2 linked regions of the Macaca mulatta genome follow. Each later gene encodes a partner of the first gene's protein in a complex. Links are inferred from orthologs where the notes say so. Each region holds a gene or a part of one and is shown in the gene's direction. Other genes may lie near its edges.

The links.
Region 2: the proteins of AMHR2 (region 1) and AMH are in contact, whole or in part, in a crystal structure (PDB 7L0J), measured with the Homo sapiens proteins. The link is inferred for Macaca mulatta from reciprocal best matches to the Homo sapiens genes AMHR2 and AMH. Residues at the interface, in NP_065434.1 of Homo sapiens: Gly31, Val32, Arg33, Gly34, Ser35, Thr36, Thr38, Leu39, Phe62, Ile64, Glu75, Met76, Arg80, Asp81, Ser82, Glu84, Pro85, Ser95, Arg97, Ala98, Pro100, Ser101, Leu106, Thr108; in NP_000470.3 of Homo sapiens: Leu471, Arg472, Glu474, Val477, Leu478, Ile479, Pro480, Glu481, Thr482, Tyr483, Gln484, Lys534, Leu535, Ile537, Leu539, Glu542, Arg543, Ile544, Ser545, Ala546.

What each region holds. Positions count from the first base shown.
Region 1 is NC_133416.1:60,571,873-60,576,570, forward strand, and holds the start of AMHR2 (anti-Muellerian hormone type-2 receptor), read left to right. Parts: upstream 1-1,493; 5' UTR 1,494-1,635; coding exon 1,636-1,915; intron 1,916-2,152; coding exon 2,153-2,344; intron 2,345-2,607; coding exon 2,608-2,685; intron 2,686-2,897; coding exon 2,898-3,016; coding exon of another isoform or gene 3,017-3,131; coding exon 3,132-3,362; intron 3,363-4,698. UniProt on the Homo sapiens protein: On ligand binding, forms a receptor complex consisting of two type II and two type I transmembrane serine/threonine kinases.
Region 2 is NC_133424.1:2,995,894-3,000,539, forward strand, and holds the start of AMH (muellerian-inhibiting factor), read left to right. Parts: upstream 1-1,430; 5' UTR 1,431-2,067; coding exon 2,068-2,482; intron 2,483-3,097; coding exon 3,098-3,246; intron 3,247-3,417; coding exon 3,418-3,526; intron 3,527-3,613; coding exon 3,614-3,773; intron 3,774-3,863; coding exon 3,864-4,646. Other genes in the region: SF3A2 (splicing factor 3A subunit 2), read left to right, coding at 317-385, 479-1,279. UniProt on the Homo sapiens protein: Plays an important role in several reproductive functions. Induces Muellerian duct regression during male fetal sexual differentiation. Also plays a role in Leydig cell differentiation and function.

The sequences.
Region 1 (4,698 bases):
CGGACGCCTGTAGTCCCAGCTACTCGGGAGGCTGAGGCAGGAGAATGGCGTGAACCCGGGAGGCGGAGCTTGCAGTGAGCTGAGATCCGGCCACTGCACTCCAGCCTGGGTGACAGCGCGAGACTCCGTCTCAAAAAAAAAAAAAAAAAAAATAGAACCTGGACTTTGGAGTCAGACCTGCCTAAGTTCAAATTCCAGCTCTGCTATTTCCTAGCTGAATGACTTCGGGCGACTTACCTAAGCTCAATTTTCTTACCTATAAAGTGGAAATAATAAAAATAATAGGCCAGGCACAGTGGCTCACACCTGTAATCCCAGCACTTTGGGAGGCCGAGGCGGGCAGATCACGAGGTCACGAGATTGAGACTATCCTGGCCAACATGGTGAAAACCCTGTCTCTACTAAAAATACAAACATTAGCTGGGCATGGTGGCCTGTGCCTGTAGTCCCAGCTACTGGGGAGGCCCAGGCAGGAGAATCGCTTGAACCAGGGAGTGGGAGGTTTCAGTGAGCCAAGATGGCACCACTGCACTCCTGCCTGGTGACAGAGCAAGACTCAGTCTCAAAAAATAAATAAAATAATAATAATAATAATAAATATTTCAGGGGAGAATTAGATGAGACGATTGTAAAATGCATAGCCCTAGCTGTGACCCAGAATATAGTAGGTGCTTGATAAGAACTTTGTCACCTCCTTAATAATGGTTATTTGTTCAGCCTGTGAACCAATGTGATTTTTTTTTTAAGTGAAATCCACACAGCAAAATTTACCATTGTTACTGTTTTCAATGTGTTTTTTTTTTTAATTCAGGTAAGTTTTATGTACTTTCTGATTCTTAAGTTGGAAAACAAGGTAACCTCTAATATGGGCTGTGAGGCCTTCCTCTGCCCAAGCAGCTGCAGATATGAACCCTGAATATAAAGGGATCTTAGGCTAGAAGGGATCTTGGGCAGAGCTGAATGGCTCTAAGCATTTGACCTCACCTTAGTTTCCTCCTGAGAAGAGTCAACAGAGTCCAGCATCTTCTTCCAAGGTCAGAAAAGGGCAAAGATTTGAAATTAGGCATCACTGGGTTCTCAGCTGGGCCTGCAAGGTCCCCTCCTCCCACTATGCAGAGCAAAGAGGAGGTTGCAGAAGAGAAGAGGATATGAGATTGGTTCTCTGCTCCTCCCTTTCTTTCCCTGCTTTCCCCACACCCACCCTCTCCCCCACAGCAGCCTTCTCCCCCACAGAGGCTGGGATAGAATGAGGGGGGCGGAGTTGGGGACTGAGGGATCAGAAGCTCCAGGATGCCCTGTATCTGAAGAAAGCTTTGGCCAGGGGCAGCTGTGCTGGCTCATGCTCTCCTCCTTCTGCTGCTGCCATCCTCCAGCAAGATGCTAGGGTCTCTGGGGCTTTGGGCATTACTTCCCACAGCTGTGGAAGGTAAGCGTCTACAGGGAGGGGAAGGGTCTTTCCATCCATCCCGTGAGGGAAAGGGGCGCTTGAAGCAAGAGCCACCCCTTTGGAAGAGTGGTGAGTGGGCTGGGTGAGTGAGGGTGAAGGACAGAGCCATGTGTCCCCATGGCGGGGCTCAGGTTCCAGCCCTCTGCTGACCCTGCTTCCTCCTGTGGCTTTACCATACTGACGCTGGGATGTGGAACATGTTTTTGTCTGTTCTTTTTGGCCACTTTTTTGCCTCTGCATTCACTCCTATCTCGAATCCTTTCCTTTCCCCACCCTGGGCCTCAGCACCCCCAAACAGGCGAACTTGTGTGTTCTTTGAGGCCCCTGGAGTGCAGGGAAGCACAAAGACACTGGGAGAGCTGCTAGATACAGGCCCAGAGCTCCCTAGAGCTATCCGCTGCCTCTACAGCCGCTGCTGCTTTGGGATCTGGAACCTGACCCAAGACCGGGCACAGGTGGAAATGCAAGGTGAATGGCAAAGTATATGGCAGGTGATAGCTAGGGTGGGAGACAGACACATCCTGGGGTGTGGGTGGCAACCAAGGGGGAAGGGGAGAAATAGAACATGTGGTGGGAAAGAAAAGCCCATGAGAGATGGAAGGGATGCCTCTGATAGAGAAGGGATTTATCCTCTGTTTCCACATGCCATTGTGCTTTCTCCCTTTTCCCCCTTTCTCTCCTCTTCCCCTAATCCCACCCCATCAGGATGCCGAGACAGTGATGAGCCAGGCTGTGAGTCCCTCCACTGTGACCCAAGTCCCCGAGCCCACCCCAGCCCTGGCTCCACTCTCTTCACCTGCTCCTGTGGCACTGACTTCTGCAATGCCAATTACAGCCATCTGCCTCCTCCAGGGAGCCCTGGGACTCCTGGCTCCCAGGGTCCCCAGGCTGCCCCAGGTAGCCACCCAAGGGTACTGAAGGCTGGTGGGGGCTGGGCCCAGGTTAGGATGAGAGATGGAACCAGGGCCAGTTCTCACCCTACTCCCACCCCACACTTTCCTCCTCCTGGCCTTGGGAAGTTGGTTGCCCTGGTGACTGGGAGATAAGGGGTCTTGTGACCAGGGTGGGGGTGGGTTGAGAAGCAAGCTCTCAGGAGGGGAACAGCGGAGAGCAGGTTTGGGTCAGTGCTTGCCAGCCTGCATTCTTGCCTTGATGTCCAGGTGAGTCCATCTGGATGGCACTGGTGCTGCTGGGGCTGTTCCTTCTCCTCCTGCTGCTGCTGGGCAGCATCATCTTGGGTACTAATCCACCCCATCCCTCCCTTGTGACCCCAAGACATTGTCCCCAGAGCTCTGATCCCTCTCCAGGCACCCCTGACCCCATGGTCTTGGGATCTCCATAGCCTGATTCCCAGACTCCCATGACCTCTCACAAAGCTCCCTTTCCATAGAGTCCCTTTTCCTGTCCCCATGCATGTGCACCCTGAACCTAAGGCTCTTCTCTGTTCCAGCCCTGCTACAGCGAAAGAACTACAGAGTGCGAAGTGAACCAGTGCCAAAGCCAGGGCCAGACTTGGGCAGGGACTGGAGTGTGGAGCTGCAGGAGCTGCCCGAGCTGTGCTTCTCCCAGGTGCCCCAGGGAGGGAGAGAAGGGATCCTCTGGGCACTCCTGGAGGTTGTGCTGGGGAGGAAGCCTGGCCCTATTATAGCTCAGAGGCCCACACTCAGCACAGTGTCCCTACCAGGTAATCCGGGAAGGAGGTCATGCAGTGGTTTGGGCCGGGCAGCTGCAAGGCAAACTGGTTGCCATCAAGGCCTTTCCACCGAGGTCTGTGGCTCAGTTCCAAGCTGAGAGAGCATTGTACGAACTTCCAGGCCTACAGCACGACCACATTGTCCGATTTATCACCGCCAGCTGGGGGGGCCCTGGCCCCATGCTCTCTGGGCCCCTGCTGGTACTGGAACTGCATCCCAAGGTGAGCACCAAGGAGTATATATGTGTGTGTGTGCCTGTGTGTATGTATGGAGGTGGGGGCTACATGGTAGCTGGGCCTTGTTGATGCTTCTGCTTTCGATTTTCTCTTTTCTAAGACATTAAAAATGGCCAGGTGAGGTGGCCCACGCCTGTTATCCCAGGACTTTGAGAGGCCAAGGTGGGTGGATCGCCTAAGCCCAGGAGCTCAAGACTAGCCTAGGCAACATGAGGAAACCCTATAACTGCAAAATTAGCTCAGCATGGCAGTGCACACCTATAGTCCCAGCTACTCAGGGGGCTGAGGTGGAAAGATCGCTTGAGCATAGGAGGTTGAGGCTGCAGTGAGCCGTGAGCATCCCACTGCACTCCAGCCTGGGAGACAGAGTGAGACCATCTCAAAAAATAGTAACAAGCTGGGCACGGTGGCACACGCCTGTAATCCCAGCACTTTGGGAGGCCAACTTGGGAGGATTGCTTGAACCCAGGAATTCAGGGATTCAAGAACAGTCTGGGCAACACTGTGAAACCCCACCTCTACAAAAAAGAAAAAATTGGCTGGGTGTGATGGCACGTGCCTGCGGTCCCATCTACTTGGGAGGCTGAGGTGGAAGGAGTACCTGAGCCTGGGAAGGTCAAGACTGGCAGTGGGCCAAGATTGTGCCACTGCACTCCAGCCTAGGTGACAGAGTAAGCCCCTGTCTCAAAATAATAATAATTTTTATTTATTTTTATTTTTTATTACATAAACAATACATGTTTATATATTTATTTTATTTTATTTTATTTTATTTTATTTTATTTTATTTTATTTTGTGAGGGGGGCAGAGCCTTGCTCTGTTGCCCAGACTGGAGTGCAGTGGCATAGCTTGGCTCACTGCAACCTCTGCCTCCTGGGTTCAAGCAATTCTCCTCCCTAAGCCTCACCAGTAGCTGGGATTACAGGTGCCTGCCACCACGCCTGGCTAATTTTTGCATTTTTAGTAGAGACGGAGTTTCATCATGTTGGCCAGGCTGGTTTCGAACTCCTGAACTCAAGTGATCCACCCATCTCAGCCCCACGAAGTGCTGGGATTACAGGCATGAGCCACTGTGCCCAGCCAAAAAAAAAAAAAAAAAAAAAAAAACAATGTTGGCCGGGCACGGTGGCTCACGCTTGTAATCCCAGCACTTTGGGAGGCCGAGACAGGCAGATCACGAGGTCAGGAGATCGAGACCATCCTGGCTAACACGGTGAAACCCCATCTCTACTAAAAATACATTTAAGAAAATTAGCCGGGCGTGGTGGCGGGCGCCTGTAGTCTCAGCTACACGGGAGGCTGAGGCAGGAGAATGGTGTG
Region 2 (4,646 bases), on another chromosome or scaffold:
GTGACCTCGCTTCTTGGTCTAGGCTGCTGGAGGGCTTCCCACAGCCTGTGCCTACGCCTGGACAAAGCAGCCATCAGGAAACAATACAAACGGTGCCTGTCCAGGGCGGGGGCCAGCGTGTGCTAGCGTGGAGGCCGGGTCTGTGTCACTCCAGAACTGAACCCTGTGCCCATCGAAAGTCTTACCAGGCCGGGGCCTTCTCTTGGGCTCCCAGGGTGGAGTCCGGGCCGGGGAGGCTAACGCCTCAGGCTCCCTGCCTGATGGCTACCCTGAGGTCACAGGGACCAGGAGCCCTCTCTGTCCCCCGCCTTCCCAGGTGCCGAGCAGAGAGATTGACAAGGCGGAGGGCAAGTTCTGGACACACTGGAACCGGGAGACCAAGCAGGTGAGTGGCTAGCCCTGAGCTTGGCTCCTTCCTGCCCAGCCCCGGTGGCCCTAGCCCTGCCCGTGCCTGCTGAACCTTTCTCCGTCTCTCTAGTTCTTCCTCCAGTTCCACTTTAAGATGGAGAAGCCCCCGGCTCCGCCCAGCCTCCCCGCCGGCCCCCCTGGGGTGAAGCGGCCTCCACCTCCGCTGATGAATGGTCTGCCCCCTCGGCCACCGCTGCCCGAGTCTTTGCCACCGCCACCGCCGGGAGGCCTACCTCTGCCACCCATGCCCCCCACGGGGCCTGCACCCTCAGGGCCCCCGGGACCACCCCAGCTACCCCCACCAGCTCCAGGGGTCCACCCCCCGGCCCCAGTGGTGCATCCCCCCACCTCTGGCGTCCATCCCCCAGCTCCTGGCGTCCATCCCCCAGCTCCTGGGGTCCATCCCCCAGCTCCTGGCGTCCATCCCCCAGCCCCTGGGGTCCACCCACCAACCTCTGGGGTCCACCCCCCGGCTCCCGGAGTCCACCCTCCAGCCCCCGGGGTTCACCCTCCAGCCCCCGGGGTTCACCCACCAGCCCCCGGAGTCCACCCACCAGCCCCGGGGGTCCATCCTCCCCCATCAGCGGGGGTTCACCCCCAGGCCCCAGGGGTACACCCAGCAGCCCCTGCTGTTCACCCTCAGGCCCCGGGGGTGCACCCACCAGCCCCAGGGATGCACCCTCAGGCCCCGGGAGTCCACCCCCAACCTCCCGGGGTCCATCCATCAGCTCCTGGGGTCCACCCTCAGCCTCCTGGAGTTCACCCCTCAAATCCTGGGGTACACCCCCCAACTCCCATGCCCCCAATGCTGAGGCCCCCACTCCCCTCCGAAGGCCCAGGGAACATACCTCCCCCTCCCCCAACCAACTGAGAAGCTGCTCCCTCCCCCAGCAAGCTCAGCGCCAGGTGCTCCTGCCTTTTGCCATCGAGAGAAGGCTGCTCTTTTGTACCGCCCCCTGCTCATTAAACAGCCTTCCCCAGCCCCGAGTGCACTGATGTCTGCAGCGCCGCCCTCCCTTGTCAGTGCTGTGTGGGAGTGCCAGGCACAGCACCATCCCTGAGTTTGCGCCGACTGGGGAGGGCCTGGGGCCTGCCGGGAGACACCTGTGGGAGGCCTGAGAGACAGCTGTACCTTGGAGGTGGCCTGGTGGAGGACAGACTCCACCAGCCAGCTAGGAGGGGGTCTGGGGTCCTGTCCTGGGGAGGGAAGAGCAGACTCTTGTGATATCCTTGGGGTCTCCAGATAGCCCACCAGGGGTTGGGAAGGTGAGCAGGGACAGGGCGCCCCCACTGACTTGGGACCCTCCTCCTCCAGGCCCACCCCTTAGCACCCAGGACATCTGGGCCCCCCGCCCCCAGCGCTGTCTAGTCTGGCTGCTTGGCCATCACTCCCAGCCTGGTTCCCACTCCTGTGCCTTCTGGGGACGGGCCCTCAAGGACAGCATGTTGACAAATCAGGCCCAGCTCTATCGCTGTGGGGAGGGAGATAGGCTGCTGGCGACAGAAAGGGCTCTTTGAGAAGGCCACTCTGCCTGGAGTGGGGGCGCCGGGCACTGTCCCCCAAGGTCGCGGCAGAGGAGATAGGGGCCTGTCCTTTACAAACACCCTACCTTCCACTCGGCTTCCACAAGGCGGGCAGCCCAGCTCCTGGCAGCACCCATGACGCGGGACCTGCCTCTCACCAGCCTGACCCTGGTACTGTCCGCCCTGGGGGCTCTGCTGGGGACTGAGGCCCTCAGAGCAGAAGAACCAGCTGTGGGCACCGGTGGCCTCATCTTCCGAGAAGACCTGGACTGGCCGCCAGGCAGCCCACAAGAGCCTCTGTGCCTGGTGGCACTGGGTGGGGACAGCAATGGCAGCGGCACCCCCCTGCAGGTCATGGGAGTTCTGAGCGCCTATGAGCGGGCCTTCCTGGGGGCCGTGCAGCGGGCCCACTGGGGCCCCCGAGACCTGGCCACCTTTGGGGTGTGCACCCCCGGTGACAGGCAGGCTGCCTTGCCCTCTCTACAGCGGCTGGGGGCCTGGCTGCGGGACCCTGGGGGGCAGCGCCTGGTGGTCCTGCACCTGGAGGAAGGTACGTGGGGCCCAGCCCCGAGCTTGGCACCGCCGGCCTCCTTCAGGTGGGCCAGGTCCTCTTAGGGAAGATCAAGGGCTGGCAGAGCCCACACCCTGGGCAGGGAGGCTGTGGTCTTGTTCTGGGACTGGGCTGTGGGTCCATGGCCTGGAAGGTGGGCACCGCGCTCTGTCCTGTCCCTGAAGCCCAGCTCTTAGACCAGCCCCTGCCACAGCGGCAGGGAGAGAGCTGCTGTCTTCTCGCCACCCGTGAAGAAACCACCCTGTGGCTCGGGGCCAGTGGAACCCTCCTCCCCACCGCCCCACACCTGGCCAGCCTGTTCTCGGGGCCACTGGCCTGAGAGACTCCCTGCGGGGAAGGGGCTTCATCGGGCGCCCTAACCCAGAGACCCCAGGGCGGCAGCCCCACCCACAGCCTCAGACGCAGCCTCTGCCTGCCCGGGCGGTCACCGCTCCCTGGCTGCAGGAAGGCAGTGAAGAGGGACACTAGGTCCCCCGCTCAAGGCCCCCTGCACAGTGGCCAGAGCAGCAGGGACGGATCCCAAAGACTCCCAGGGGAGTGTGGGACGGGCCTGGCCTTCAATGGCTCAGGCGTCCCCTGCTGTCCTGGCTGCAGTGACCTGGGAGCCCACACCTTCGCTGAGGTTCCAGGAGCCCCCGCATGGAGTAGCCGACCCCCCGGAGCTGGCGCTGCTGGTGCTGTACCCTGGGCCTGGGCCTGGCCCTGAGGTCACTGTGACGAGGGCTGGGCTGCCGGGTGCCCAGGTACCAGGGAGTTGCATGGGGCATTGCCTGGGCCGCGGCAGGGGCATGGATTTGTTGCAGGGTCTGCGGTACTGAGAGAAGCGTAGAACCAGTGGCAATGGGAGGAAGGGCACCGGTAGAGCAGGGCTGGCTAAGCCTCCATCCAGCCGGGCTGAGCCCTGGTCTCCACAGAGCCTCTGCCCGTCCCGGGACACTCGCTACCTGGCGTTGGCGGTGGACCGCCCTGCGGGGGCCTGGCGCGGCTCCGGGCTGGCCTTGACCCTGCAGCCCCGCGGAGAGGGTAGGTGTGCGTGGAGAGGGACCGGGCGCCGGGTCGACTGCCCTCAGCCCCCAGCCCCTGAGCCAACCCCGCGCCCACCCACCGCAGGCTCCCTCCTGAGTACCGCCCAGGTGCAGGCACTGCTGTTCGGCGACGACCACCGCTGCTTCACGCGGATGACCCCGGCCTTGCTCCTGCTGCCGCGGTCTGAGCCCGCGCCGCTGCCCGCGCAAGGCCAGCTGGACACCGTGCCCTTCCCGCCGCCCAGGTGCGTGCAGGCCCGGGGGCATGGGGCAGGAGCAGGCGGGGGCGGCGTGGCCTCGCGCCCGCTCTCAACTCCCCTAACTGCGGGTTCCAGGCCATCCGCGGAGCTCGAGGAGTCGCCGCCCAGTGCAGACCCCTTCCTGGAGACGCTCACGCGCCTGGTGCGGACGTTGCGGGGCCCCCGGGCCCGGGCCTCCGCGCCCCGCCTGGCCCTGGACCCGGACGCGCTGGCCGGCTTCCCGCAGGGCCTGGTCAACCTGTCGGACCCCGCGGCGCTGGAGCGCCTGCTAGACGGCGAGGACCCGCTGTTGCTGCTGCGGCCCACCGCGGCCACCACCGGGGACCCCGCGCCCCTGCACGACCCCACGTCGGCGCCGTGGGCGACTGCCCTGGCGCACCGCGTGGCTGCCGAGCTGCAAGCGGCGGCTGCCGAGCTGAGCAGCCTCCCAGGTCTGCCTCCAGCCGCAGCCCCGCTGCTGGCACGCCTGCTCGCGCTCTGCCCAGGCGGCCCCGGCGGCCCCGGCGATCCCTTGCGAGCTCTGCTGCTTCTGAAAGCGCTGCAGGGCCTGCGCGCGGAGTGGCGCGGGCGGGATCCACGCGGGCCGGGGCGGGCACAGCGCAGCGCAGGGGCCACCGCCGCCGACGGGCCGTGCGCGCTGCGCGAGCTCAGCGTAGACCTCCGCGCCGAGCGCTCCGTACTCATCCCGGAGACCTACCAGGCCAACAATTGCCAGGGCGTGTGCGGCTGGCCGCAGTCCGACCGCAACCCGCGCTACGGCAACCACGTGGTGCTGCTGCTGAAGATGCAGGCCCGTGGGGCCGCCCTGGCGCGCCCCCCCTGCTGCGTGCCCACTGCCTACGCGGGCAAGCTGCTCAT